Linked DNA regions of Lepisosteus oculatus. The protein of the gene in region 3 purifies or fractionates together with the protein of the main gene of each other region. This does not show direct contact. Links are inferred from orthologs where the notes say so. Each region holds a gene or a part of one and is shown on either strand. Other genes may lie near its edges.

What was found.
Region 1: the proteins of itcha (region 3) and amot purify together in Homo sapiens (affinity purification with western blotting; 3 studies listed by BioGRID). This does not show direct contact. The link is inferred for Lepisosteus oculatus from reciprocal best matches to the Homo sapiens genes ITCH and AMOT.
Region 2: the proteins of itcha (region 3) and lysosomal-associated transmembrane protein 5 purify together in Homo sapiens (affinity purification with western blotting; 3 studies listed by BioGRID and IntAct, with this or other methods). This does not show direct contact. The link is inferred for Lepisosteus oculatus from reciprocal best matches to the Homo sapiens genes ITCH and LAPTM5.
Region 4: the proteins of itcha (region 3) and CASP8 and FADD-like apoptosis regulator purify together in Homo sapiens (affinity purification with western blotting; 8 studies listed by BioGRID). This does not show direct contact. The link is inferred for Lepisosteus oculatus from reciprocal best matches to the Homo sapiens genes ITCH and CFLAR.

The regions. Positions count from the first base shown.
Region 1 is NC_090703.1:34,849,621-34,857,438, reverse strand, and holds the start of amot (angiomotin), read right to left. Parts: upstream 3,249-7,818; 5' UTR 3,157-3,248; intron 2,331-3,156; 5' UTR 2,288-2,330; coding exon 2,200-2,287; intron 1-2,199. Other genes in the region: pgk1 (phosphoglycerate kinase 1), read right to left, coding at 5,010-5,050, 5,573-5,671, 7,169-7,346.
Region 2 is NC_090706.1:9,720,923-9,728,407, forward strand, and holds the start of lysosomal-associated transmembrane protein 5, read right to left. Parts: upstream 3,161-7,485; 5' UTR 3,095-3,160; coding exon 2,996-3,094; intron 1-2,995. UniProt on the Homo sapiens protein: May have a special functional role during embryogenesis and in adult hematopoietic cells.
Region 3 is NC_090711.1:15,290,486-15,298,770, forward strand, and holds the start of itcha (itchy E3 ubiquitin protein ligase a), read right to left. Parts: upstream 3,247-8,285; 5' UTR 3,092-3,246; intron 2,853-3,091; exon of another isoform or gene 2,741-2,852; intron 1-2,740. Other genes in the region: necab3 (N-terminal EF-hand calcium-binding protein 1), read left to right, coding at 6,229-6,354. UniProt on the Homo sapiens protein: Acts as an Acts as an E3 ubiquitin-protein ligase which accepts ubiquitin from an E2 ubiquitin-conjugating enzyme in the form of a thioester and then directly transfers the ubiquitin to targeted substrates.
Region 4 is NC_090707.1:26,008,071-26,016,364, forward strand, and holds the start of CASP8 and FADD-like apoptosis regulator, read left to right. Parts: upstream 1-5,268; 5' UTR 5,269-5,459; intron 5,460-5,493; exon of another isoform or gene 5,494-6,100; intron 6,101-6,450; 5' UTR 6,451-6,530; intron 6,531-6,537; exon of another isoform or gene 6,538-6,647; intron 6,648-7,722; 5' UTR 7,723-7,821; coding exon 7,822-8,114; intron 8,115-8,294. UniProt on the Homo sapiens protein: Apoptosis regulator protein which may function as a crucial link between cell survival and cell death pathways in mammalian cells. Acts as an inhibitor of TNFRSF6 mediated apoptosis.

The DNA.
Region 1 (7,818 bases), on a different chromosome or scaffold from region 3:
TTAAGAGTGCCCTCTAGTGACACAAACCCGGCATGAAACTCTTGATCACATTGACTGGGAATGAGAAAACGGGGTTGCCGTTACAGATGCCTCAAGAATGAGTTCCCAGATTCTTCTGGCTGTAGTGTGCCTTTTCAGACTTTCACTTAGACTTGAAAATCCACAGAATGTGAATTACGACAGTGTAGACAGCCTATGGTGTAAGATATTATTTGCTACACTTTTTATCCGAGGTGACATGCTTCCAAACATGTAATTCTGGGTTGTTTATGAATGTACCTTAGGTCTCAGACCTTTGTTTGGGATGTTGAGCTGTGTGACAAGGAACCCTAAAATATGAAATTAAAAAATATCTGGCTAACATTAACTCAATAATAGGTTTTCATCATCTACGCTCCAGTGCCAAGAATCCCTTCAGATTCTTTCACATATTGAAACCTTAGATGTTACTACACCTTGATCTAAGTCCTAATTATGAACATAATCTGATGAAACAAATGACACAAAACATGATATCCTATTAACATTTATCTTCAAACAATGCAACATTCAATAGCCATGTGTGACAAAGAATGTGAACCTTTATATTCAGTGAACTGGTAGCACAGCCTTGAGCAGCAATGACAGGAGCTCAACATTTCCTGTAACAGCTGATCAGTCTGTCACATTTGTAGTGAGGAATTGTGGATCACCGTCTTGCTGCAAGACTTACATTTGGCTCAACTTCAGATCACAGATTGATGGCCTGATGTTCTGTTCTAGACTCTTCTGATACAATGCAGAATTCATGGTTGTGTTGGTCATCCAGATCCTGAGGCAGCAAAGCAACCCAAAACCATCAAGCTCCCACCAACATGGTTGACAGGTGGGATGAGGTTCTGTTTTTAAAAGCAGTGTTTGATTTATGCCAAACATAATGTTCCTAATTGAGGCCAAAGAGTTCTATCTACCGTGCCTGTCAAGAGAACATTTATCCAGCAGCTTTGTGGATAATCTATGTGCTCTTTGGCAAACTTTAAACAGGCAGCAATGTTACTTTTGGAGAACATTTTTCTCCTTGCTATCCTTCCATGAATACCATTCAAACCAAAGTTGTCTGATAGTTATGAATAGTCACATTAGTGAAGGCAAGAGTGGCATGCAGTTCTTTGGATGTTATGCTAGGGTTCTTCCTCGATGATTCTCCAGTTTATTCTTGGAGAGACACTGGTAGCACAACATCTCCTGGGTAGAGTGACTGTGGTTTTTAACTTTCTTCATTTGTATACTGTCTGAGAGTGAATTGGTGGAGCCCCAAATACTTAGAATTGGTTTTGTTAGTCTTTCCGGTCTGAAGAACATCGATGGCTATTTTTCTGAGGTTCTCTGAGAAATTCTTAGACATGTGGCATGACTTATTTCAAACACATGCATGGTGAAGGCCAAACTCACACCATTTCTGATCTTTATATAGGTTGGGGCCTTACAAACTCAGCCCCCAAGGTCTACCTAATTATTTTAACACCTGATTCTAATTATTACCTTAATTAAGCTAATTAAACTAGGGGTTCACTAACTTTTCCCCAATATCAAATTTTACTCATTGTTCAATTCAAACATCATTTTGTTTTAAGAGACAAGAAATATGTTACTATAATCATTACTGGATACTTGCGGAAAGAGTGTTTTTTATTTAAGAAGGCCATCAGGGTAAGACTATGAAAATACCATTTTTCTTTGAGATTTGATACACTGATTCACTATGTTTTTCTCGACCCTGTATCTGTTGACATTACAGATGAAATCTTGAAGTCTAGTTTGATTTCTCACCTTTAATAAATTACGAGCTGCATACAACTGTAACTACCGCTTCCTTAAGTTAGACAAAATATATTTGTTATTGGATTGGGCAAAATCGTAATAAAACAGAACACATTCTAATAAGTAGTTGAAACATGGATGTACAGAAAATGTATGGACATTCAAATAAATGGGGTCTACTTTAAATTTATACATAATTATGGAGATGATAAAATTTCTTGATGGTTTTTAAGTGAAATAATTTATGTTCATGTTATTAAAACACTAATATATATTTCTTATATTTTAATAAAAGAATTAAACACTAATTGAAAAACTGTTGAACACTCCTTGACAATGTAGATGAGAAGCAATCCATTTTGGACTCTGGTAATCCTGGGGCAAAAGTGCACATCATACCTAAAAAGCTCAGAGCATGTTCAGGGAATCCAATATGATTGATCCAGTTAGCCACATTCTCTGGACTCCATTCTTCCACAACACTCATTGTGTTTTCTTTGACTGTCTCCAGCCCTATCCCCTTCTGTGGCCTGAGGAATAATAATAAAATAATAATCATCATCATCTTTTTTCACTGACTCTTTCCATCAAGTGTTTACAACATAACCATGAGCTTTTGAATGGTCGATCCAACGATACTATGACTGTATCAATCATCCATTTAAATTAAAAGGTTATTGTCTTGACTTGGATTTTTATCCAAGTTAACCGTTGAATTGGTTTAGAAACGGGCGATTCTATATGTTGATGCATTCCTAAACAGTTGTAAATTGTTAATAGACTGAATATTACCCATTACCAGTAAAATATTTCAAATTTGGAATGCCCCATATGTTGGAGAGATCCAAATATATAAAAAATAAGCCACATTTACTTTATCCAGGAAGTGGTACAAAGAAAGCATTTTGTGTAAGTTCCAAAAATATGTTGCAATATAAAAAAGCACTTTTAAATTTCACGGGAAAACTACAATATGATATACACGGCGTACATAGGTTTTGTAATACATTTGCCTTTACAGAAAATCCTTTATATTGAAGTAGACGTATAAGAATCACATTCATTCTTGTGTTTAAACCCCGATGCTGCTTTTTGAAAGAAGGCTGTATTTTAAAATAGGGCGTTTAAAACAGGAAAACACCTGAGACCATTTTGTTGGCTTTGTACATAAGCCACGTACAGTACTGCCAGGCGTACCCGGCAAACTCCATTGCAGATTGCAACGTCCGTGAGTCCGAAGAGCCGGGCCGTGACCCAGGTACGCTTGTTTTTCAAGAAGCAAATCCGTCCAGCTAATACTCTTTTGTATATTAGACGACACAAACGACGAACATGGAATAATTTGCATAAACTCACCTCGCTTCTAGTTCATCTAGATCATGTCCAGATTTAGCTTTACAGCTCTAAAAAGACAATGTAATTTCCCACAGAAACGTTCACCTGGGCAGGTAAAAGGGCGGAGTCAGAGCAAAGCTGGTCAGGAGCATTGTTGGTATTGTAGTCAATGTGTGGTTTACAGAGCTTTCCTGATCATACTATCTGAACGTAGGTCACATTATTTTTAAACACTTTGAAGCATAACATCAAGTTTGGATAAATTATTCCATTCGGATTGTTATTCCAAGAAATCCCATATGTCATCATTGTTCAAGACATAACTTGATAAATTTTAATTACATAGCTAATTCAATACACACTCTTGATAAAATAAGGTATGCATGACCCAGACGAAGATGCTAAGTTCCAAGATATACCCATTGTCATGTGATGTACCAGCCAACGATGTCCACGTTTATCTGTCCCTTCCAAAACTCCTGAACGATAGCATTTTTCGCATAGTGACTAGTTATAGCAGTCAGTTTACACAGTTTAATATTGTGGAGTATCCATGAAACGTATTAGTTTGTGTTCTTCAATACCAGTGCGTTCTTTTCAAAGAAAAATAAGATTACAGAACATAGATTAACTGGAAGAAAAAAAAAATCAAACCCATTTGGTCTTCTAACCATTTCTTTCAAACATGCTTCAACAGAACACAATTTTTAAGGTGCTAATTTATGCACCTTAAAACACTACTATGCAACACTACTGTCATGAGAATGTCATCAATTTTTCATTTGTAAACATGGGTCACCACTGCCGCCAAACAGTAGACCTAGGACACTACATTCTTTCCTAAACTTTCATTTGAGTCATTACAAAGTCTCGCAGTACCTTACAGAATGCTTCAGATAAACATTTAAGGAATTGTCTGGTTCACAAACAGAAATGTGCAGGTCCCAAGCGAGTGATGCGTTACCCAGGCCAACTCAACAAAACCACAGAATTTGCTGCACATGGCCAATTGTGTGCTATTGGCTGTGGAATCATGGCTTCCACCATCTAGACTTGAAATGGTGGCTTCTGTACTGTAGGGTTGGAACTTCTCAGCAGGCATCTTTACTTACCAGTGGATCCAATTCCTAGTTTTCTGGTCTTTTTATTTTTTTTAGGTTAAAGTTTTCATTAAAAACAACATAATCCCAATCAATCACATTTGGAAGCAGGCAAGGAGAAATAGTGAATTCTAGGATTATCTCCACCAACAATGATGAAAGAAAACAAGTGACTTTTTACACTGATCCTTTTTATTTCATCTGCATACTTTGTCCAGACATCTTATCAACCAAAGAACTACAAGCTGTGGCCAAAGAACAAGACAGATGCTCATGGGGTGGCGTTTAGTACAGACTGAACCGTTGATAGAGGCAAAAAGATACAAAATATAAATTCTAGAGTTACACAAACGTTTGGATTTTTTCTCTTCTCCAAGACGCTAACAAGTGAGGCACACATATACACATAAACATGATCACAAATGACCAATTCCAAACCAGCAGCTGCCTCAGGTGAACATCTCCCTTTTGAGAAATGAGGCAAAGTGCAAAGAGGGGTTCTGCGTTGCTTTCAGACTTTTTATTTTTAAAAAGCAGCTTGAGAGTGAACAGCAAAGCTCCCCCCTCCTCAGTTAAGTGCTCTAGAGTGGGTCTTAGCACATTTTCAGGTGTCTTTCAAGTTAAGTTAAAAGCTTTTCTGTAACCCTTGCGCAGTACAGAGGGAGGAATTCATCATTTGTGCTACTGCAGTACTAGATAAGCGTTTCATGGTAAGAGGTTCCCTAGGGCTGTGCACTGAAACTCATGGCTAGGATCTTCCTCTCCCCTGGGCCTTTAGACATTGCTCAGAGCATCCACACCAGGCAGGACTTTACCTATTATAATTAAAAAAAAAAGAGAAAAACAATTTAAAATTATTGTACAGAACATCAGTTATCTTATCCCTCAAAGACACATCTCTTGTTGAAAAAATAAAGCGAAGAAATAATGTACTTCTGTGAAATAAGGACTTTTTTCAAGACAATGACAAAGTACTTTTGGAAATATTCTGCAAGCTGTATGAGATGTCCATTTATAAAATAGGATATTCCTGTTTTATTGGTCCAATGTCAAAAGTATAAAGAAACTTGTTTTTGCTAAAAATAAAATCATAAGGTAGCATGGTGGCACAGTGGTCATCACTGCCACTTCCCCCCTGGGTTCAATTCCTGGGGTGCTATCTGTATGAAGTTTTTATGTTCTCCCTGTGTCTGCATGGGTTTCCTCCAGGTGAAAGTGGAATACTGATCATTGTGAACTGGATACTGGAGGAGCCTATACTATCTGATGTTATGCAGTCATTGGACTATTGCTCAGAATTCAGCTCCCAGAGTTCTCAGCGCCTCAGGTTTTCATACCTTCTAGCAGCTCTAAGCTGGCTCCGCCCCCAGTGCTGACGTGGCTGACCTTGTCCTCGGTGTCCCACTTTGCACAGCAGGTGGCCGTATCACCCCCACCTTGGATAGGAACACAGCAACGTGAGCTGTCCATTATAGCCCCCACACCAGCATGACAATTCACAAAAGGTCCAATCAAATCCCAGCACAATTCAGGCAGCTTTAAAACATTTAAGGTCAATGTGCCACCACTCCTGTGGACAGTTTTAATGTTTTTAGTTCTGTAAATTCTTAAAATACCATTGATCACTAAAATCAAGTTTAAAAGACGGAAAAAACACCTTTTAGGAGTCTTTTCGACTTCACGCCTCTGAGACATCCATTTAAACACAAAAGAGGTCAGATTTTAGATGTGAATTAACTGGTCACATACCTGCCAAAACACTAGATGAACTATTCAGTATTTAGCAATATTTCCTATGGAGGTTAAATTCTAAGCTATAGGTACCCCTTAGCCCCATCTAGTGGTTGAATTGGTTTGCAATTACAAAACATTTTACTTAGATTCACTTTTGAGGCAAAATGGACGTTTCCAGTTGTCTCTGGTAGTGCCAAATGTCCAAATCCTGTTTCAAAAGCTAAATCTCCTTTTGAAGTCAGGAATGTTAGGGGGTGGTTAATTGAACCACATAACCCTCAACAGTCTATATTTAGGTATTTATGTTGATTATTCCAATATCTTCAGTTAATTAAAGAGCTATTTTTCACCACATGTGGAATCCATACCCACTTAGATTCACTGAAATTCCAAACATTTGCCAATTTAATATAGATCTTGTTTGCAAATAAATAAGCAAACAATTGATACTGGAAACTTCCCGATAAGATGTAAATACTTTCAAATAACAGAATGCTAGAGCTTCTACATTTTGCATTTATTTTTTTCTTGAATCTATACAGCCTGGACCTGTAAAACCTCCTCAATCCTCTTCTTTTAACATGGTAGATTCATTAACCCCAACTCACGACCAAGTGAAGGTGCCTATGTGCAAGCTTGTAGCCAATCCAGAATCTTTATTTTCTCAGCCAAGATTAGCACTTTCCTACTTTTATGCTTTCAGCATCACCACAGGCTGATAACTTGCGGACACAACGCAGGAACAATATACTACAAATTGAAACAAAGGAAAGTGCACAGCGAAACACTGTAAAGCATAGGAGAAACAGAGTATGGACCAGGAAGCTGGCAGCAGCACAAAGATGCCCAGGAATACCACAGGATTCCTGAGAAAAATGCAGGATTTTGACACAGGCATGCAGCCTAGTGGAATATATTTCAAGGATTAACCGATGTTATAGCATATACTTCATACAGCACTTTTTGGTTACATTTATTTTGTGCTTTATAGAGAAACTGAATTGGAGGGGGGTTACTGTATCCAGTTAATAAACAATTTGTTATCATTGTTCATCACTTACTAGCCAGGAAATAAAATGTGATTTTCCAGGTTTTCTGGGAATTGTGAGAAGCCACCACAGTTTTGAAAGCAGTTTTCTTTAGAAAACAATATGGAAAATATATCTGGGAAAGAAAGGCTGAAGATGGCCTTTACTTACCGATAATGGTGATGCAGCCCTTCTGAGTGGCCTCTACCACTTTATCCATGAGGTTCTTGGTTCCACTGGCAAATTTGTCCCACTCGAACACTCCTACAGGTCCGTTCCACACGATCTGCTTGGCTCTCCCCACGGCTTCTGCAAACTTCTTTGAGCTCTCTGGGCCACAGTCCAGGCCCTGAAGTACAAAGATAAAATGGATAAGAGCTTGGAAAACAGAACTTGAGAGGTAGAAGCCCTTAATACATCAGACATTAAAGTAGAAAAAAGTTACATAATGAGATCTAACTTGCAGAGAGCTACTGTTTTCTCTTGGTTAAAACATATTTTTCTAAAGACTTGGAACACTTTACAATAAAGCAGGAGATTTAAGTAACCTTCAAACTTAATTTGAAAAAAAAAACACTCATTCGAGAACCTAAATAAATAAATCTAGTAGCTAAGTGTTTAGGAAAAAGTGATTTCAGGGGACATAAAACAACTTATTTGTGGGGAAAAAAGATTCAATCCAGGTAAGAAGTTCAATACATACAACATTAATCAGAAATTTACAACATGCTGCTGAAGCTTTACATAAGTTCTATAAAGCATTCATTGATAATAGTGATGAGACTGGGTTAAGTATAAACAATCTGTACCTGCATGTCTGT
Region 2 (7,485 bases), on a different chromosome or scaffold from region 3:
CCAAATGATTAGTTCAGTTAAGAAATTAAGGGGGAGGATAAAAAAACAGAGGACTCTGTGATCCTTATCTAATATATATAGTACATGTGTATGTTATTTATCTGTGATGAACCGCTGAGAATCATACTGAGAATCATATCAGTTTAGGCTTGGAGGAACTGTACAGTATGATTCTCCAGGTCATGTCTTCTGTGGTGAGTGTCTGACTTCCCCTTTGCAAACATTTTCCATTAGACAAGTTGCAAGATTGAAACCGGCAGATAAGGTGCACTCATGATACATGAATCTCACGACCAGTGATGTCTTTCAAATTAGTATTTATTTCTCAAAATAAGGGCACACTATTTCTTCCGTAGTTTTGATTTGACAGGCAAATTATATGTGACTCAACATCCTAGCAAAAGGTCTAAATATGCACTTTATACAAGATGTTGGTTTGAAACAAATTGTCCTATTTCAAAATAGTAAGACTTTAAAGCTAGACAGTACCCTAGAAGGTGTGAATGTCTATAAGTGTTTTTCACTGTGCACATTTTGAAAGGAAGATGCTAGATTACTATACACCTACTGTATTAGAGTTTAATATCATGCTTTGTATATCCAAATGTACTCATGCAATTGGATTAGTAGCTTCTTCAACCTATATGATGTACCAAATCAACTCAAAATATTGTGTGGGCTAGGATAAGATTCAGTCATCTGCACATACAGTATAAATCCTGACCGCCAACAATGAGTGAAGGAGAAGAGGCTGAGAGGAATGACACAGAAAAAAAAGGTATAGGATTTCCTATTTCTCAAGCTGTAGCTAATTGTTGTCTGCTTTTGACAGTATCATTAGTTGAATAAACTAATGTGATCTGTTGAGGGAAGAAAGTGATTAAGAGAAATCAGTATAAAGACTCCATTAATGGCACCCCTGCCACAGCAACAATCAAGAGACATACAATACTTAATTTTGCCTTTGGGAATATTTTGTACTGTCTTCACAAGCTGGCAAAACACAACATACTATTAACTTTGACATAATGGGGGAAAGATAAGGTAAAGGATCCACCTTGTCTTGCAATGCCACACTATAGCGTCCATGGCAGTGTGATTTGAATCTTTTACCTGCTTCAAGGAAGGAAATGTTTATCTGTGCTCATAAATATCAGCATTATTTTAAAGGAAGTGTTCTAAGATAATTTTCCAGGAAACAGACCTACCCTCCCTAACTGTACAGTTACACTGTTCATTAGTTTCCTTGCCATACTTTAGGGTAGAGAATAGCTTTAGAGATCAGATTATTTATTAAATCTGAGTGACAATGAAGGAAGATTTCAGTCTGTTTCCTAAGTTTGTGTGTATATCGTTCATTGTTCCTGTAAATGTGAAATGTAGTGTGTACATGCACGTCATATTTAATATTAAATTCAAGCATTTTACTTACTGAACTCTTACTCCTACATACACATTGTCACTTTTAAACAATCCATTAAAAATAAGTTTCTCATCTTTTTCTTTCCATTTATTAAGCACCGCTCAACATATGGATGTTGGAATTTGAAACGGGTTACATTACAAAGGGTGGCATTAGAATATGATAAGTTTGGAGACAGGGAGTGGACGAAGGGAGAGTATAACATACAAACAGGTGTGTATGTGGAAGAAGGAGAGTAATTATTGAACACTGGTGATCTATGGTAAATAGCTCCCAGTCACAGAGACATTTCTTTTTTATACATGAGAGTTGCCAGTACTAACAGTTCTGCCCTCATCTGTTTCTGTCATAACAGGAAGGTACACATTCACAGAAAAACACATAAACAAGACTATAAATTGAATAAACCACTCTCTTCACTATGGAATTATTATTTTTTCCTGGAACATAGAATTCCTAGTTTTGAAGGGTTGATATTTTTGTGAGTTATGCATTCTGACACATAACTACATAAAGTGTGGGCACCATCACTTATTTATAATTTTTTAAAAAACTTATTTAATGACGACATGGTTTCCAGCTTTAATAAAATACTGTAATTAGCTTCGTTCTAAATGCAAATTAACCAATTTAAGACACAAGCTGGTGATCTTTTCCCAGCTGCACATACAGTATAGTTTGTTAAAAGGATTTTTATCGGTTAAAAAATTCATATTGTGTTGTCAATGTTTTCAGGTATTTTGATTTCTTGATTTGAATTTCTATATTTAAGAATACTGACAGGCTGTCACAGTTTTGAAAAATCCTTCCGAATATTATAGGACAATGCTTCTGGTTTCAGCAGGGTAGATGTTAAAATTATTCACTCAAGTCTGACAGGCTGTACTTTTTTATGAAATGAAGACAAGTGAAGCAATTAAGATCAGAATGTTAATAGTATGGGTCTTCTGTATTTTTCTTGCTTACTGAACATAAGAAAAGGTTCAAACATTCAGCTTATTCAACCCCATTCAATAAAGGAGGTGGCAAAGTATTAAAGTAAAAATAATAGCGAACATTAGGTATTGTTGCTGCTAGTACTTTATCTTTGACACTAGTCACTAGAATATCTCACTAAAACACATTTATGCTTTTTATAGCTAAATGGCATGATAATTTAATTCTAGAAAAGAGCCTCCTTTACATACAGTTTTAACCTCATTTCACCTTACACTTCTCCAGTTTAAGTACTTTATAGCTCCAAATTCATCAAATGTTTCTGATATTCTTTGTATGAGCACACATTCCTGGAATACTGGATTTTTTCACCAAGTTCAAATTAATTTGATAAAGCACTATATGGTTTGTACCCGTTGGTTTCAAATCCATGAAAAGAAACTCACGTAAAGAAAACAGGAGATGAACAGGTCCCATGAGTTGAAATTAAGTGACAACAATTGAGAAGGAATATTCAAATGGTTTTGTATAAAAGCTCAATTGGTTTCTGTTTTGGTACATAGCAGTATAACTGACTCAAGCTCTACACTGAATGCACCTGATGTCTGCATCTGAGATCAAAGGCAAGGCTCTTACCAGGTAATATACACCGATGCTAAAGGTTGCAGTTCGGATATCACAGCAAAATCCCCGATAGGCAAAGGCCAGATCAACAGAATTTGGTTTGGACATCATTTTGGCTTCTCAAAATGATGCGACTTCTTTGGTGTTTGTCTAGAGAAGGAAAGTGAAGAAACAAATAGAACACAACGCCTCGAGCCAGGCTTCCTTCCTGTTCGTCACTCAGGAGTCACATGGTGGCCAGAGAGAAACCACCAGATATTTATGTGCCCGTTAAGAAGCATTGCACACTGTTGGGAACACAAAGAGCTAACATTCCCCTCAGAATGTCCAAGAATGTTGAGTGTTCAAGCTCAGGTTTTATGACCCCAACCCAGTGCTGAAGGACTGTAGTCCTGTAGATTTTCATACCAGAAAACACTCCTCACAATCTAATTTACCTAATAAATAGGTTAATTACAGCAGTTGAACATAATTTGATATGATACTTCAGGTGCGCCTTATTAAGAGGCTTCTAAAACTCCAAGAAAGAACCCCTGCTTTAAAAAAGAGCAGTTTAAGGCTGCAGTTTATTTGAATTACTAATAATTTGGTTGAAACTTTAGTAATTATCAGAGAATGGCTTGGGACAGATATTTATTAGATGCAGAAAGGGCATCTTTGAGTGAGTACTGGAGTCTTCTACTTTTCATTTTGGGTCTCAGTTCTTTAACTGAATCAACTAATTAATGAAGATTAATGTACCTTTGAGCCCCAAACTCTCCAAAGACTGAGGGACCATTGCTTGTCTGTGAATTAAAAATGGCCTTTTAATCCATCTTGTTTGCTTTTTTTTTTTGCTATTAATGTATTAATCAATTTCTTCAATGGATCCCAGGAAATCCGCTTCACATCATGGTTTCGTAGGTTAATGATACTGTATAAGAACAGTTACAAATGAGAGGAGGCAATTTGACCCATGTAGCCTGTTTGGCAGTTAGTAGTTAATTGATCCAATAATCTTATTTAGCCATGTCTTGAAAGAGGCCAGAGTATCGACATCAACAACATGGCTAGGGAGATTGCTCCATACTCCTACAACCCTTTGCCCTCCTTTCTCAGCTTTAAATGCACTTCCACATGCTGTAGTTTTCATTAGTGCCCTGTGGTTCATTCAGAAGAAAAGTGTGAACTGCTGCCTTCAAAGAACAAAGTGCTGTGCAGATATCTTGTCTGGACAGTCCTCTTTAACAAAATATGGTACCAAGTTTCCATAATTAAAACAACTTCAGTTATTTCAAATAATACTTAATAAGTGTTATTCTACCTGTTTCACTTTCAAACCTGAAAAGAAAGCCAAGAAAAGGTTTGAGTTTAGTAGTTAGGGCAGCTTTTTAAATTCATATATACTGTATAGTATAGCACATACAGTCGCTGCAACAGTTTGAACTTCTGTTTTTTTTTTCCTTCACTGACAGCAAATATACGGTCCATTTATTTTCTAACCTCTTTATCTAATTCAATGAAGCAGGGGATCTGGAGCCTATCCCAAAAAGCAGACACAGACAGTCACAGGGCCAGTTTTCCCAGAAGCTGATTAATATACCAGTATGTCTTTGGACTATGGGGGGAAACCCATGCAAACATGAGGAAAACATACAGACTCCAGACAGATAACACCCTGGCAATTGAATAGGGCCCCAACACTTTGAAGAACTAATGCAAACCACCACGCCATCACGCCGCCATTAAACATACAGTACAATATTTGTAATTTAGAGTGGATATTTGAGAGGTCTGAAGAGCAGACAGACCAAACTTTTCTAACAGCTAAAAATGTACTGAGTCTCTCCTACATTTTTAATGTGCCTTCTTACCTTACACATTGTTGTAAATCAAGTGTCTCTTTTAAATTAGAAGAAACTAAATGCTGTTGGACAACAGAAACTGCTTGCATAGTGTTTACACTGTGTTTAGAATTTCAACTGTACCATCACATCTAAAGTTTACTGTTATGGTATCAGTTGCATGATCTGCCCAGACTCCATGAAATTTCTGTTAAACAAACTTCTTTAGCTGTATCACTAGAGCTTGTGTGAGAGACAATCACCCTTTCCAGACAATTTAAATAGGCAAGACAAAGCTACATCAAGATATGTAAACTAAAAAATTGTTTTACAGCACCTACAGACTAAAACCGTTCAGACAAGGTGCTGTCAGTTTGCTACAAGCCATCTTTCATCTGGTTATAAAAATACAACATACTCTGGTTGTTTGAGAAAATGTTGATTCACCACAACTGCTGTTTTACAGCTTCATCTGTTTAAGACCACATGAAGCTGCATTTTTTCATTTTTTTGTTTTTTTACACAGCATCGTGAAATGCTGTTTAAAGTAATTTTATCATGCACCTGCACAGCCTTGACGTTCTCTTCAGGTCTGAGGTTTACTGTCCTAGACATGCACAGCAGCACCTGGATTTAAGCCAGCAAATTCACAAACTATGACATCTGTGGCATAAACTGAATATTATGCATTTTCATGAATGGTAAAAATTCAAACTTATATACTGAACGCATTATGTTCTAGTTCATTTCATTGACAAAAAACAATTTTATGAACGGCTGAAAATGTAATACATTCATAAAGGGCAGATAGTTTAGTTTGAAGGAATCTCTCATACAAAATAAGTTGCAGTATTTATGGAATCAATTTGGTATATTTGTAAGTAACTAATTTATTCAAGATCTATCAATAGCTTATAAATCATTAATAAATGAATCTGTATAATACATGTGCCACTCCAAAAGCATTGCTGATACAAGCATTTATTCACACATTAGTTGAGCCTTGCAAGTACAGGTTTTGCTATATGAGAGAATTTGATATTCTGTAGGTGGCACTTCTAACAGTAAATAAAGGGTCCAGTCAGTTAAATATTTACAATACACATCACCACATCTAAAAACTAAATATAGGTAATATCTAGTCAAGAAAAACCTCCATAAATTTGGTGAATGTATCATTTGACTAGTATTATAAAATTAAATGCAGGCTGGTCAGAGGGAATATCAATATAGCAAGTAAGGGTTGAATTTGATATACTGTATCTGCATGTAGTCAGGGTGAACACATCTTCTGTTGTGCAGAGGAACACTTTTGTATGTTAATGAGATGTCACTTCCTTTTGAATTATTTGTGACAGTGAGAACACACACATTTGAATGCTCTGTGGGGGATTTGTTTAAAAATAGTTTAAAACTAGTTCAAAGCACTCTGATGATTTAAAAAAAAACAACAGAAATAACTGAAACCTTAATCAAGTATGGACACGCACTGTCCTGAACAATAGCTGCTGTTGTGAAGAGGGAGTCAAAACACACAAAAAAATACAAAAATAGTGTTTTAAGATCTTTGGTCAGCTCAGGTATCATCTTAACAAGCCACTGTGCCACAAACAAACACGTGGTCTTGGATTTCTGATGCCAGGGGCTGTGCTGTGCGGTTTTCTCAGTTGTGGAAAATTACTGTCTGAGTTTCTTCACGTAACACACTTCCCAAATAAACAAGAGCACAGGGACTAGAGAACCAAGGCTTGCAATACATAGCCTGGAAGGAACAAAAATTAGGAATATTTTAGGAAGGAACAGAAATAGGGATTATTATAGAAATAAATCTGTTTCCTTGATTAGCAAACGGACGTGTTTCATAGCACAAACTGTTCAAGCTGCCCTCCTTCTGCAGAGCTGTGCTAACATAACCATCTAGCTGTCCAGTACAATCCTATGGGTCTGCACTGACTGACCTGAAAGGCTACAACTGCACTACGCTTTAAGGAGGAAATGATCTTTAACATTGCCAGACAGAAGAAAAGTAATCTATCAGTCGAGTTCAAATCACAAAGCTCTAATATAGCCTAGCTTTTCGGGGAACTGTTAATAAAATGTTAATTAATAAAATGTTCTTTCTTATTAAATCACAGCCATCGTATGAGAGGGGGCTATTGAGAGCACCGTGATCATTTACTTTTTAAAAGCCTAAGTACCCGAGATCATGGATTTATGTTTGAAGTATAAATATACTGTTATAGCAGTTCAGGTGGGTAGCTGCATCAGCATGTGTAGTCTGCAAAGGAACAAGTAATAGGTTTATTCCATGCTGAAAAGAGAAGAGAGAAAACAACGTTTCGGCTGTGAAGCCTTCTTCAGGTGTGGTTGTTACATATGCTAAAGACTACTTCTCACTAATTTACAAAAGACTTTCCCTGATCTGCTCTTTTCACTAGGCTCAGACAGCTAAGGCAGTTAAGGTAGGGCGTCTGAGCCAAGGTCAACCAGCTATTCCCTCAACAAGGTGAGTGATGCCAACAAAATGTTTTCCAATAAACCTTCAATATTCTTTGTCTCTATTTTGCATTCATTAGGATCTGTAGCTGTATACCTAGTAAATATTTGTACTTAAAGTTACACCGTTTTTGAAAGTACACCAAATGTTGTTTCAGAAGTTTGGTTTGATCCCATTGAATA
Region 3 (8,285 bases):
TTTCCTAGAAACCAATTAATTTACCATTAATTGGATTTCACTGGGGAAACCAGAGCACCCAGTGAAATCCCATACAAACACAGAGAGAACATACAGATTTCTGGCAGGTAGCACCCCAGGTCTGGTATTAAATCCAGCTCTCTAGTGCTATGATGCAACAGTGGTCACCCCCCATGTGTCACCCCTTATAGCCGATGAAGTGGGGTTAAAATATCTTTGGGAAGTATATAAAATAACTTAGTGGAAGGTACATAAGAGAACTCAGTGACAACCCAAATTAAAATATAGATTGACATCTTATATCACAATATAAAACTATGTGGCCACTGTGCTTATCACTGACCCACAGCAAAAAAAAAAATAATAATAATAAAGAGAACACTTTTGTTTACTGTACTGTATTTATGGTGCAATGATAAAAAGAAAAGCTCAGAGATTGAGATCATTTCTTCACAGGGACAAAGGTGCAGTCCTATCTTTCCACAGAGGAGATGGAATCACATGCAGCTCCTCACGAGTGACTCTACTGGTTTTTGTTCTGCTAGAAGGGATTTGCGTATCTTTTTATCACAGGTGAGGAGGGCCCAAATACCAGGGAAAAGCAGGAATGATGTATTTTGCTCAGGACCAGAAAATAAGAAACAATATTGTTTTCATAGATAAATGTTTCTACTGTAGAAAGATGAAGAGAAAGCTGAACTGCTCCTGTCCAGAGATTTGTGCTGTACTGTGCTGAAAGTTTCTAACATCCCAAAAATACAGTATACTTGAAACTACTTCTATACAAGGCACACATCAAGTTGGACAAATAAGCCTGTTCTGTACACACACACACACACATTATTTCAGTGCAAAACAGCAAAGTAAAAAGAAAATCAACATTTGTTCTTTTCTACATTTCAGCTGGAATGAGCCTTTACCTGCTCCTTTGCAGCTCGCAAACTGACAGCTCCTAACTTGAGCATCTTCAATATAAAACTACTTGACAAAGCTGGGCAATAGGAACCACGGGAATATTTTATTTTGGTGTGTGTGCAAGAAAGGGATTATTTTTAAAGAAATTATGTGGAAGGTCTGTGATTGTGACAGACATTTTGTCTTTTTGCCCAAAAGGTAAACTGCATGTACTCTGCCCGCCCTCCTTTCTATACAGAATCTGCGTTAACAGTTTTTACAAAAAAAAACACTAAAAAAGTAACAGAACATAAAAAAGAACTGTTCCTTAACGTTTTCCAGAATCATTGATCATAGCATCTATCTTTTTAGAGTCAATTCTGATGTTCACATTGTAAAGCTTGTTTCAGATGACTTTTAAATAAGGTTGGTCTTGGAAAAAGAACTTAATCATGGTTTGTGGCCCTTAGGTCACATTCAGTGAGGCAAACACGTTTCTAAATAAATAACATTATATGTTACAAATACTATAAAGTGTCCACAACCTTCCTCACTGACTGAACTTCCAGCTAGTGGGTAGTCACTTTACTTTTCCCCTCTCGCGTGCTCCATTGTCTATTGCAGTAGCCTGTCATCCACAAGCTTTCCACTGTTTCTCATTTGATACAATACTCCAGCGGAAAAAAAAAACGTTTCTGAAGACGACTCCATTTAGCTGCTTTAGAAGACATTATGTGTGAACATGGGTTTCAGAGACTGTGCTTTGCAGAAGCCCCTTGATGCATTCTGTATGGCTGGTGTGTGTGTGTACTGCATTCTTCCCTGCAGTAGGTCTTGACGCGTTTCAAGACTAGCACGCAGCTCATCCAGCAAGAGAACCACACAGATCGAAGGCAACGGGACACAGGGCAAAAAGAAAATAAAAACAAAATTCTGACAATTACAGAGCAAAAAAGATCTACCTGTACATCTGTACAGTATGCCAATCATACAAATACACATCCAAATACTTACAAAGGTCTTTATGAACCCATCGGGTACACGAAGCATAGAACTGCATGTTCTCGGCACCCTTCAGAAATTCACAAAACGCAATTGTGTTTGCAAACTAACTTCAAACAGTATTTCCTTTACTGGTCTGACTCACTCTGCGCTTCCTGATCAGAGCACTGACAACACAAACAACCCTAAAAAGTACACGACCATGAACTCATGGCATTATGCAAACGAGGGCTTGACCTGTCTGGGGAGAACTGCAACTTCTAACCATCGCGTTTCATTTTATTCAAAAATCGTGTACGTTTACAAATCATCTTTAAAGTACAGTCTGCGTAAAAATTATATCTAAAATATCAACATATTATATATATATAACCATAAGGGTGTAAGAGAACCTTATTAGTATGCATTGATATGTGTCGTGCACTCCATTTCCTTACATATCAATGCACTGAACCGAAACCTCATTCATAGATATGATAACACTTCTTATCGTGTTGAGCTGTACATTGGTACCGAATATAATGGTCATTTTGTTGAGAAATAACTCAGCAATGTCGACAATTCGAAGAATACTGTATAAAAACACATCAAAAGATGTAAGAGACAGACTTACAGACCAGTAACTCTTACTAAAATAAGATCTCACCCATATACAATAGTTAATGTGAAACACCCTGCCCGTTCAACCAGAAGGACTTCGTACTTGGTTCAGCGGAGCGGTCTTATTTATGCAAATAAATCACCTTCACGGTTTCTTTAATAATTTAAGAATCCCCTTTTTACACATCAAGGCCTGACCTTCGCAAGAACTGTCATTTCTTGTCGGACAACAGTGCCTCTCTTGACGCTGTAAACAACCCCACTGAACACAGCAGAAACTCGACGGTCGGGTGTTTACCTGCTTGGGATAACAGTCTAACGTCAAAAGTTAGGTCGGGAAGAGTGACAACTACCTGGTGAGTATCACTTATTCAACTGGCAATGAATTTGTGATCTTTTTATTGAATTAAACCATACGTATTATACAAACATATTCGAACGATCGGTTTAAGCCGAGTCTCAGACCCAGTTCGGCACCTGGGAGTTACGAAGTAGCCAAAACGCATCGACAGCGACTGAGCAGACATACACTATATTTTAAACAGTAGCGCTTTAGATGGACTACTAAGGCATTTTATACAAATTTAAATCTTACCCGTATCTAGGGGGAAACTAGCGTTGCTGTACTATATCTCTGTGTATCCCTGAAGAGCTGTATTCCTCTTTATTTTGGGATCCACTCCAGTTTCACTCAAAGGAAGAAACTTCCACCATCTTCGTAACCTTCTCACGTGACAAACGAAGGTGGGCCGCCCATGACGCACGACGATGACGCGCACGTTTACGTGACGCATACCGGAACCCCACCTAACGATTGCTCCTTCGGTCTTCGATTGGATAATGTAAACAGACCCCGGACCTCTGATTGGTCCATCTGTTGGTCGTCACGGCGGCTCGGAAAAAGATTGCGTTCAGGTCGCTTCCTGTACCAGCACATTTTTAGTGTAAGTACAGTACATATTAAGCAAGTCCAAATTCCTCTTCGGTCTTACGCCATATCCATATCTTCAAAGCTAGACATTATTATTTACATATCAGATAAATAAAATAAACTGAACTTATCAAACTGATTGACTATGTTCATAATATTTAGCTACTTGTTAGGGTGGTAGCAGAGGAAAGTGGTCCTCAAAAATGTTGGCAGAACATCACACATGAAGCTAACTGCCTGCCTAACATGAAACAGTGCACTGATTAATAATAATAATAATAGCTTACACGTATATAGCACTTTTCTGGACACTCCACTCAAAGCACTTTACAGGTAATGGGGACTCCACCACCACCCACTCCACCCCTCCACCACCACCAACGTGCAGCATGTGACGGCAGCCATAGTGTGCCAGAATGCTCACCACACATCAGCTATCAGTGGGATTGGAGAGCAGAGTAATGAAGTAGATGGGGATTATTAGGAGGCCATGATTGGTAAGGGCCAATGGGAAATTTGGCCAGGACGCCAGGGCTATACCCCTACTCTTTTCGAGAAACACACTGGGGTTTTTAATGACCACAGAGAGTCAGGACCTCAGTTTTACATCTCATCTGAAGGACGGTGCCTATTTACAGTATAGTGTCCCCATCACTATACTGGGGCATTAGGACCCACATGGACCACAGGGTGAGCGCCCCCTGCTGGCCCCACTAACACCTCTTCCAGCAGCAACCTTAGTTTTTCCCAGGAGGTCTCCTATCCAGGTACTGACCAGGCTTACACCTGCTTAGCTTCAGTGGGTTGCCAGTTGTGAGTTGCAGGGTGATATGGCTGCTGGCTAGATTAGATAACAGATTGGACAACAGATTGGACAAGAGCGTAAGAAGAGCTACAAAAAAAGAGGAAGCTATTCTGGTCAACCTGCTGCTCACAAAAATCTTCTAGGTTTACAATATCTAGAGAGGAAACAACCTCCTTATATTTTTCCCCTAACTGCATGATTATATTAGAAATAAATTTTTAGTCAGTTTCTTTCTCCATCTCATACTCTAGTGCATGAGACTAGTGGGGGGGTCTTCTTCCAAGTCCACATAAGCTTTCATTTTCTAAACTGTACATTAAGTTTAAGAAGAAAAAAGGTGTCTGAGACCAGCAGTCCTCTGGTTCTGTGCCCCTTGGAGAGAAGAATTTGAAGCCTGTGAGTGGTCTGAATCTCAGAGGAGACCTGTGAAAACCAAGACTCCACTACAGACAGAGGAACCCACAAGTCAAGGATAATGAAATACAGGTTCCAATCGAGGACCACTTGTTGTGGACAAGTGAACTGAAGAAGCCAGCTGGCTGTCATCCTGCTTTCAACCACCTTTATCCTTAAACCTTTCATTACCACTGAAAATTCAAAAGGCAGATCTGAGAGAGCACTCTGAGTTAGTACCATCAGTTACTGTTAGCAATTACAGGCAGCATGCAAATTGAGCTTGAAAAGTGTGGAGAAGGCCTGCATCGTCTTCCTTGGCCAGAACAAATCCCCAGATTTCAATCCCAGATTTCAGTCGCTCATCACAACTTCAGTCCCACACAACAGCTGCCCCAAAACCATCTCCACCAAAGCTGCTATACGTGATGGAGCTGAGCTGCGAGGACAGTGTCTGTGGAATGCCTACCAGGTCTTGCTCCACCTGTTTTTTCTGTTCCTAGAGGCACAACACAGCATGCAAGGGCAGTTCCTATTGTTCGAGCCAGTGAGAGCAAAATGATCAGCTAAACTAAGGAAAACTAGCTGGAAGGCAAGACTCCTCCTTGTCAGTACGGCTAACACTGCTTCCCTGGTCTTGCTGAGTTCCTGGCTCATTCATCGTGAGGACTCTAGTGATCTGATTATAGAATTGAATTTATTCAGGTGCTGGAGCTCCAACTGCACTCTTTGTGCTTTACATTGATGCTGAAGCTCACTTAGTTTGTCGTGTCTGTGCCTTTTGGCACACTCATGCTCAGGACACAGACTTTCCCTTCCACGTCTAGTTGAAGAGAAACCAACTGCTTCATTGTTTTCGCCTGATGTTTTCAACGCAACAATCAAGGATCCGACAGGAAGGGCACTTTAAAATCAGGATAATGGTTTCGCAAAAGGCAACGGTTTAAAATCGCGTAGTTACCAGTAGGTGGAGCTGTCGGTCTGGAAAAAGCTCGTATAATAAAAAACAAAGCGCTTCCCAATACTATACTTAATGCAACCCCTAAAAACAATGCTTTCCATCAATCATTTAAGCATAGCATTTCGAATAGTTTTATTTATTAGTCACTTCTTGGTATGTCTTTAAAACGACTCAGAATTAAATTCCTTTGACACAGGCTGCGTCATAGGAATTTGAAGTGGAAGAACAAGTTAATAATAACCCGAAACAGTAATCCGATTGTGCCTTTCAAAAATGCCAGAGGCTGTAGCCATCCTAAATGCGCAATGAAAGAGAAGCCTTCTGTGCATCGCTTGCTTTAAAGAAGCCCCTGGAAGGAGCCAGCCAATCACGTCAGTGGAGGGCGGGGTTACTTTTTGTAACGAAGGAAAGTTGCTTGGATGCGGAGCAGCATCTTAAAGCACAAACTCGGCATCTCAGTATTCCTTTCCTTAGGCAAGATTCTTCCCAGATGACAGGAGGAGATCCCTTCGAGCACTGAATAGCGAAACCAAACCGCACAAATTAGAAATTAATCGCCTGTGTCCTCGGACCTATTTGCGAACAGGGTTTAAAAACGATTTCTAGATACTGTACACACATCTTTCTTGCAAGGGTTTAAAAATGATGGCATGCACAGAGATAATCACGATGTGCCTCCAGTCTGCAAAGCAACAACACTTGTACTCCAAACACCAGCAGCAGCTACTGCAGAAGAATCCCGTCCAAGGACTTTCTATTTTCCAAGATGTAAGTAAAATACAGTATATTATAATTTTATTTAGTAATATATCGTCTTCATTTATTAAAGGAACACCGAGCACATTTTTCGGTGTTGTTCGCTGGAAACATCATAAGTGGTGATTTAGACTTGAAAATCGCATATAAAGCGCAGCATCTTCAGTAAGCTACAACGTTAGGTGAGATTTATATGGGTTTAATTTACATTACAGATTAAAAAAGGAATATTAAATTACCGCACAAAAGTAAAATAGCTACAGTCGCTGTGAAGATTACTAATAAAAAGCCACGAAATTTATTTCTGAACTGTAAACTATCAAAAAGGTTTTCTGTTGTATCAACCAAGAAATAAGCTAAAAAGCATATTTCCTCTTGAGAATTGTATAGAGCACGTCACTTTTAATCGTAAAACAGCCGTGTCCTACCGTATGCGCTGCTTCACCCTCAAACTGCGCCCTGTGACACCCCGTATCAGGTATGGGCGTTAATGTATGAACCCCACCACCAAGACTCGGTGTTTCTGTCTCGTTGTGTCTTTTTACTGCTTCATAAGCAAAATAAATTGTCTGAAATCGTCAAAATGTCCATTTCCACTAAACAGCTTCATAAAAAATCACTGTAGGTTAAAGGTTTTTTTTTTTTTACCGACGTGTATACTTCACGCATTACTCAGCTGTTGGCGGTAACTCGTTAGGCCTGCTGATGACTGGAAAAGTTATTTTTGATTAATGTGTCGGGGACTGAGTTGATAATTTTCTTCATCAGTCCTAATTTGTATGTTCTCTAGGTTTCGTTGTGTTCGCTATGTACAGTAGTGTAAGTTCGGGACAATCTTCAGTTCTGATGGTAGCAACGTGGAAGCGAATCAACTTGTCTCAGATCGAGGTGTTTGTTAGAAGGGGGTTTATCAAAGCTGTCAGATCGATTCTGTTGTTCTATACCTCGAACTACACGCCAGTTCCTTTAAACAGGTTTCGCTCTTTCCTGACACAAGACAAAGGCACCAGGGCTTCAATTGAACAGAACAACTTTTTGCAGTATCTCCATCAGCAGCAGGATGGGGAAGTTCCTGTAGTACAGTGCCAAGTCTTGTGGAATTATGCAGCTTCTGTGCTTGCAAGAGTGCCCTGCACTTCCTTGATGTGGTTCACTTCGGGGGTGTATGAGGCTATATTTTTGAATAATCTTTTTAGCAATGTTAATGAGAGATATGACGTTTCAATTGCTATGCGCGATAGCGTCTGTCTCTGGAGTTCATGCATTTGAAGATTTGCCCTTGTCCAATATTGCCTGTATTAGCTCGAGAACGCTTTTATTTACCAATCACAGTGTGTGTCGCTTATCAGTTGATTTTTATTTTTCATGGCTTTGAAAAACTATGGTGTTTAATTTTTAGTATTCCATTCGATTTCGATGATTAACTTATTTGCATTAAATGTTATGGGAGTGCGGAACATGGTATCCTGATATGATGTGGAAGCCGATACCCAGCCTTCTTTCGTGAAAAGAGACTATTGGATCAATTAGCTGCTTAAAAAGTAAACGAGCTACTGTTCATGATCCGACTGGCCTTTCCTCGTTCGTAATCTTACTCCTGATCTAGTTAAAATATTGTATTCAAATAGACCAAAATATTGTAAAGTGGGTTAAAAACTGCACCAGTACCATTTTATCGGCGCAACAACACATCAGGAGGAGTGAGAAGCACATCTGCTTCTGTGTGTTGTGCTGATGCTGGTGACGGTCGGCGTGGATCGCTGTGTTACTGTAATAGGGCGCTTAGGACGACTGTTTTCACGTACTTTTGTAACTTGTGTACAAATAAAATGTGAAGATAGCTTTGATTTTCTAAATTTATTTCACAATTTCAAGGATGATTATCGACTCTTAATATTAATACCAGTTTTCAATTAGTTACAGACGCCTTGTTCTGTCTTTCC
Region 4 (8,294 bases), on a different chromosome or scaffold from region 3:
TGCTTCTCTCATACAAAATAGTGCTGTCTCTCTAGAAATAGGGAATTAACTGTCCATAGTGAACAAGTACAATATTCCAATTTGATCACAAGTGATGGCAAGTGGGAACTGAAGTAGTTTGGACTGGTACAGCGTGGATTCTGCTACTTGATTCTTGTGAGTGTACCTTTCTTAAGCATAACTTATATGCTCTTCATGCAGCTACATCTAACTTGAAAGTTGTAAATGAAATACTTGTACTGGGATCCTTTTCTTTCCATTAGGTGGTGCTACTCACCACCATATTTCCCAAGACATGCCTTTTCTGCTGTTTAATTAAAGGCTTATATTGTGTGTCTATCTCTTATGATCATATACACACTTGTCGATTACATTCACAACCACTTCTTAAAGGTTTCTTTACATTACTGAAAGGTAAGAAATCCATATTTTTATGTTTGTTTGTTTTCCCTACAGTTTTTTCATTGTCCTAGGTAAATCACATCTCCTGATTTAAAAACAATCATTAGTATACACATGAATATACATAAAGTACATGTGAGAAATGAATCTGTAATTTTATGGGTGGTCCAAAGGCTAAAGATCCAAAGTAGCTTTCAGGTTGGCAGTTGGAAAATAATTGCCATGGGTAAAGATAGTATAGTGACCCAAACAGCAGGATACTTGCAGACTATCTGGCCACCTATTAGCTTAAGGGGAACCACAACAGGTTCTTGACTCCCAGAACCAACAGTGCACCCACAGACCTGACAAGACAGTTACCCTATCTAATGTCCCTTTATTATATTCTATTAAACTAGCAGTTATAGTATTGAGCATCACTGCTGACATGACAATTTTTATTCTTACGTCATAAGAATGCACAAGGGGAACACACCATAACACACAAACCCTTGTGAACCACAGTTACCCAAAGCCAAATGTCCCAAATGAGAAGTCCAGCATCACTGTTCTCCGAAACAGCCCCAGTGACCTCCTCCATTTTGTTGCGGAGAGGAAACTTTGTGCAGTCTTTCAATGGTATTGGGAATCCTCTTTAGTCCAGGAACAAGTAATAGGTTTATTCCATGCTGAAGAGAGAAGAACAAAAACACAACATTTCGGCTGTGGAGCCTTCCTCGCGTGTGAGCCAAAATGTTGTGTTTCCTTTCTTCTCTTTTCAGCGTGGAATAAACCTATTGTTCCTTTGCAGCCTACGCATGCTGACGCAGATGCCCACCTGAACCTCTTTAATCCAGGGTGTCATGAACAAAGTGGTCCTTATGCCACCCCCACCCTAATTTCTCTAAGTCCATTATCGAGTAGGGAGAATGATAGTGATGCCTGAGGCTTCCTCTTCTGCTATCTGTAGTTCTTCTCTGTCAGTTCTCTGCTTGAGTCTTTCTGACAAGGGGTTATAAAACTCCCTTCCTGGACATCGCTCAGGGCTTACTGTGAGGTATGGGTGGGGTTCTTGTGATATCTAGGGTCAAGGCAGAGCCAACAGCTTGGGGCTAATTAACAAACTGACTGTATGCAGATAGCCAAATGTCATGGAGCTCTGTCTTTTGTTTTTTTCCTGCCCCCTTGGCTGTCAGAGTCTCCATGTAACCATGCACTCGCCTACACATTACAACACGCACTGTTCACTGCAATTAATCTATTATCCAATCACTTTTCCCCTTTTCACTGGACTTAAACCTTTCTACTGCACCTTTCCATGCTCACTATTGAGTTCTACTCGCTTGAGCTAAATCTTCCTTGCCGCTTGTTTATCTCACCTCTTCAGATTACGGATTTTGCCTTCCTAACGACTATGGACCTGCCTTACGGATCCAATCTTGGTTACTTGATACTACTCTTTGCATTATGGATCTTGGCCCTCCTACTGACCACGGACCTGCCTAATGATTTGGACTTCAGTTAAAGAACACTTTCTCTCTCTTGACCCCTTACACCAACCCCGCACAGGGTCCTAATTTTCCACCTACTGGTCCTTGACATCAGCCCCTGGTCCAGTCTGCAGTGGCTCAGTACCACAACATACTTCAACATGCTAACCCCTATTGTGCGGTGATTGAGTGGCATCTGAGAAAACTGTCCTTCAATCTTTGCTAACTAGCACCTGGCTTATTTTTTTGTGTTTGAACACTTTGATTAGAGTGAGGATACACTGGCCACTGTATGCCACCTAAAGTCAGTCTAGTTCCTGACATCTTTGGTTTTGTCATAATCATAAACGTTTATTTATAATTAACGTTTATATAACTGACAGCTTTTAATTCAAAATTTAATTTTTACTTGGATACAACAAACCACTAGATTTATTAAGACTAGCAAAACTAAATATGGTATGTTTGTTTTTTCTTTTAGATTTTTGAAAATATGTGCCAATTATATTGGTTCATGGGCTTAATAGGTACATTTACCCTAACAGTTTTTTTGCATATACATTTTACACAACTTAAAATGCTCCATTCAAGCAATTTGTTGGTATAAAGATTCATTTAAGTAAAGAGCTAAGCTGTAATGAGAAACTAGCAGGTGTGTGGATCCACAAGATCAGAATTGGTTCCCCAGAATTATATCCACATAGCACACTTGAGAAGCATTTTGGGACAGATAGTTACCTGCTCAGCTGTAAAACAGGATGTGACAGATGTTTCTCTTACTGGACAGAAGTGTTCTTCTGTAGCAGGGTGAAGCAGCTGACTTCAGCCAACAATTCATTCTTGCCCTATAATACACCATTCTCAAAACACTTTAGAAACATGCTGACTGTAAGCATTTTCCTGAACATTGTTCAAGCGTAGGAATCCCCAGTCCTGGAGAGCCACAGAATGTATGTTTAGGCCAGAAAGACCTAGTTTGCGGGAAATTGCCTTCATTGAGCGCAGCTGGTCAGCATACCAGTGGGCACAATGAGTAAAGGAGATGCTCTGAGTTTTAAGAGGAGCTAAGGTGTCAAGAATAGTCAAGAAAAATATTAAACATTTGTACTTTTTTTCACCTTAGAAATATCGCAAGACTACGCCCTATGCTATCATTAACTGTGGCTGAAAAGCTGATCAACATATTTGTATTCTCTCGAATTGACTACTGCAATGCTCTGCTCCCTGGGGTATCTAAATCTACTCTGAACAAGCTGCAGTATGTCCAAAATTCAGCAGCCAGAATCCTGACCAGATCTAGTGCAAGTGTTCACATTACTCCTATCCTGGAGTCCTTGCACTGGCTTCCGGTCAAATTCCGCGTAGACTTTAAAATCCTCATGCTCACCTACAAGGCTTTACATGGCTTGGCACCTCAATACCTGTCTGAACTTTTATCGCCCTACTCCCCACCTCGCAACCTCCGCTCTTCAAATTCTGCCCTCCTTACTGTCCCCCAAGCCCGTCTACATTGTATGGGCGACAGGGCCTTCTCCTGCTATGCCCCCAAGCTCTGGAACTCCTTGCCCAAGGATATTAGAGAGTCACCTTCTCTAAACTCCTTCAAATCCAGACTCAAAACCCTCCTTTTCAGAAAAGCCTTTACTTAACTGCTTCCATTCTTCACCCCTCTGCTCTTCTTAATACCATCTTCCACGGTCTCCTCTATTGTTATTGGTGTATTGTTGTAATTATAATTGTGTCCTGTCTTGTGAAATTTTCTTATTTATTGTTGTAGTCTTCTTATTTATTGTTATTGTCATCCTGTAAAGCGCTTTGAGAAGCCACCTTTAAAGGCGCTATATAAAATAAAGTTTATTATTATTATTATTATTATTATTATTATTATTATTACTTTGTCCTTTACAGAATCGGAATTCAAAAAGCAGGAAAATGAGGACAGAGCAGAATTTGCAAACATTCATTGGTCAACTGATCACCAGCTGCGAAAATACACAGAGCATGAGAGTGAAAAATGTGAAATAGAAAATTCTAAATCAAAAAGAATAGTTAAGTGGTTAGAATCCAAAAATAATTAATTTCAGATATGCACTCAAAAATGCATTATGTGTGTTGTCATTGTAGAATCTCTAAGGCTTCAATGAAAATGTAGAAGCATTTTCCTGGACATTGTTCAAGTGTGGCAAACCCTGGTCCTGGAGAGCCACAGTCCAGCAATTATTATACATCATCTTTCCATCATTTTCTAAAGACTCAGAAGATTTTAATATTGATTAATTCAACATGTTTATCGATTCCATTTATATCGGTTGGTTAACTCTTATGTGCACATTTCAAGAATTTAAGCAAGGATCGTCCATCAACAGTCATGGAGCGTGTTGCTGTATTAATTTCAAGTGCTCTCCACACTAACTAAACAATTCATCTGCTGAAGTGAAAACTATTATTTTAAGAGTTCAGAAATGAATTTGACCCATTACCCGGTACCCTTTTGCTGCTTTCAAATGCTATACTGTAGTGTTTTATTTATTATCTCAGGAGCACTACCCTGCAAAAGGTATTCCACACAACATCTTCAGAATTGAAGCCCTCATTGTCAAGCATGGGAGGTTTTATGTTTGGGATGATTTGAGGGACGCTAAAATACCATCATATTACCGGTAATTTTGAGTTTGCTTTAACCTAACTTTCGTAATTTTATTTTAGGGGTCCATTAACTCACCCAAAATATCAAGAATGTCACCTGTTCCAAATAGAAGTTTACTTTGAAACACTAGTAATAGGTGTGGCTTAGTTGTGTGTGTTAACTTTCGTTTTGAGTTTAAGGTGGTCCTTTCCCTGGGTAGGAAGTATAAATACAAGGTGTGGTCCAGTTCGGCTTCGTGAAAAAAATTATACCAGAACACTATTCATTGCTAATAATTTATGTTGTGAATGTAGAAAAATAAAATCTAAAAATCCCATTGTGTGGTGCTTAATGTCACGATGATCGTAATATCGCACATAACCCAATTAAGACGTTCCCCCTAAATACAATAGTTTTAGGGTAACACGCCTATTAAAATATTCCTATGTGTGCCCCTAAGATAAAGTATTTACTCGAAATGGCTGTACAGATTATATGTATCTATTCTTAATATTTCTAAAACGTGGTAAATACAAAAAATGTCTCCGATACACGTCAGTGTTAGTCAAGAGAACATTTCCTCATATCTAAGTTACAATATACATTACTAGACTACTAGATTTAAGCTAGTGGTATACTGGATGTGGTTGTTAGACATTTAATTTTACGCATAAATTAAAATGTATACTGTCGAAACTGAGGATGTGATTTTTCTTGGGTCCCCAGATATTACCATAACGCTTGGGGAACCTTTTCTGGAATTTCCATTGAAAGGCCGTTATCAGCGGAATTCCACCTTAATAAAAATAGTATTTCGCTTTCTTTTCTATTTTGTTCACATCTAAATGGTTACCATCGAACAATGTGGTATGTTCATTGTGATTTACATAGTGTGTAGTCATCGATTTGCATTCTACGATTCACGCATTCTGGTCAAGAGACAACATGTAATTACTTTTAAGGTAATCCGAAGTGGAAATCCTGTTTGCTGGGCGGGGTTCTTCGTTACTCCTCCAGTTTCGCAAGTAATAGAGGAATTAGGAGGTCGCAGTATTTAAGCTTTTTTAATGTTATTTGTACTTTGAATTAAACTAATAAGAAGCACTTTTTAAATCGATTTTTTCTAGACTTTAACCATAATAACAGCGCAATGTAACCATCTTGAAATACGCTAATACGACAGAGTGCATTTAGGTTTTCTTTTGTGATTCTTCTGTGTTTGTGTACACCCCGTAGATTTATGGTACTTAATTCCAATTAGAACTATCGTATCATCGTCCAAGTTTAATGTCACGTAGATTAGCACTATGTGTTGCATAAGTAAACACAACTGTTTGTAAAAAAAACAACGTTCTCTCAGTCCCAGCGTTATTCTTTGTTTCTTTCTGCGTGGGCAATTTATTTCATTTTCGATTTCAGTAAAAAATGTACTAGGAATTTTAGTGTCATGGAGACAAAGTGACTCACATCCCTTTTCTTGTGTTTTCTACCACGTATGTCATTCACAAATATAAAATGGAAATACCAAGTAAAGTCCTTATTTATATAACCATCAATATTTCATTGTCGGTAAGCGCCACGACCACCGAGTTTACAATTGAAGGTAAAATTATGCAGAATATTATGTGACCTTGTTTCGCATTGCTTTGTAAAGATCAGACCAATGGAATGAAAAACGACTCAGTACTTTTTAAACTCTGAGAATACAATCCATGCCTAGCTACAGATATCGACTTATTTACTATTTTTTTTGTTTTTGATATTCACTGTCGTGTTTTAAATGTTTTTTTAAGTTACATTGAAGTCGGAGAATGACATTTAATAAGGTGGTTTGTCGAGTCGCAAAAGTATTTGGCAGCTGTTATCTTACAACACGTGAACTTTAAGCTTGCAATTTAATGTGTCGTGGTCTGACGTAAATCTTCATTTCCATATTCTGTATTTTTGTTTCAGGTATATACAAGGTACACTATGTGATATTGAAGGACAGTGTGGACTCCTGTTTTATTGACAAAATTCATAGAGTCATGAAGGTATGAAACAATAAATACGTACATTTAATACATGCGCTGAGAGGGAACAGTAGGAGCCCATGAAGAGGAGAACTACATGTCTACAAGTGCATGTCACACAGTGAACACATGTACTAGGTGAACTATATCACTGAACTGCATTTTTATTTAATAGCTGTTTACTTCTGTGGGTAGAATTACAGGGTCTGAAGGATGTGGACCACAGTATGAGTTTGAATGTGATCAAATGTTTTCTCAAGCAAAAATGTAGTGTTTCCGTTTTGTTTCTTCTTTTGAGTCTTATTTTAAGTATATTGTTAATAGACGCTTAAAGCACAGGGATTTCAGTTCTTAACAGGCATTGATGTTCTCTTTGAATCATCAGTAGATTGAATGGTGAATTTGGTCAAAATAACATTTCTGCACAGAATTTAATATGTTCATGATTTGAAGAACTGGATTGTCTCTTACAGCCCAGAGGTTGAGAACAGTGTGCTAGGTCAAAGTGTGTTGTTACTTCTTCAGCCTTATGTATATAAAATATATACGTCAATTTGAATTAATTCAGAACAAGTATTAATTAAATTGTAAAACAAACTGATTTTTATTCTGAATGAAACAAACTAAGGAGTTTAAATTCAGATTGCAGTGAGTATTACAGTATATAGGCTGTTCCAATCATTTACTAAATAATTTATTTTGGTTCACATTGCCTTCCAAAATGGAATGTTGTTCTGTGGCATCTGCGAGTCTCACGTTCAAGAATGAATCTCAAGAATGCAGGCTTTTACAAGGACTAAATATATCTGGTATAGAAAAATATACTTACAGTGGCATATTTATTAAAAATAAATAAGATGCATATGGTGACAGTGCAGGGGTGTTTCCTCATTTTTTGTTTAAAAAATCCATTATGTAATAACACTGCTTCAGCTATTCTTTTTTCTCTTTCCCTGAAGGTTTTTTAATTTTGACTTTTGATTCTTAAATCAGGGCAGAAAAATTGTTTTGGGGGTTGAAAAGAAAACAAAAGTAACTAGTCTCCTGAAAAACTAGTTAGTGGTTGATACAATAATAATTGGAATAATAATTAGATTACTGGGTCTCTATTATTTGGTTGGGGGGAGTTTTATATCTTTTCTTAATAAAACCTACTTTTTCTTAACATTTAACATCCCAAAGTCAATATTTTATTTTTTTCATTTTTTGGCAGATGGTATTAAAATGGAAACAGCTGCAGAGATTCGAGGTGGACAATAGGACAGTCGAATAGTCTGTATTTTGATTTCTAGCATGAGAGCACACAATTGCAATGGCTGAGGGACATTTATCCCTAACAATTAATCAGATTGCAGATGAGCTCAACTCTGAAGAATGCAAAACATTATTTTATTTGTGCGGCAACCTGGACAAGTGCAGTTCAAATGAAGATGTCAAGGACATGTTAAAAGCTCTGTTAAAAAGTGGGCAAGTGGACCATCAGTTTTTGTTGTTGGAACTTACATACAGAATCAAGCGTTTTGACATTTTGAAAAGGGTGCTAATGACAAATAGAAAGGAAGTGGAAAGCATTCTGGGAAGGAAATGCTTCATTTCTGATTACAGGTAACTTTAATTTTATTTATTTGAGTGATGCATTTTGTTCCCTCTTAATCTTTTCAGTTTATTCACCTGTTTAATGTAATAAACCCCAAGTCCAGATGTTTCATGAACATTCTGTTCTCCATACTTAAAAGGAAAATGAAAGAATGCCCATGTCTGTACATTAGTGTTCATGGTAACTAT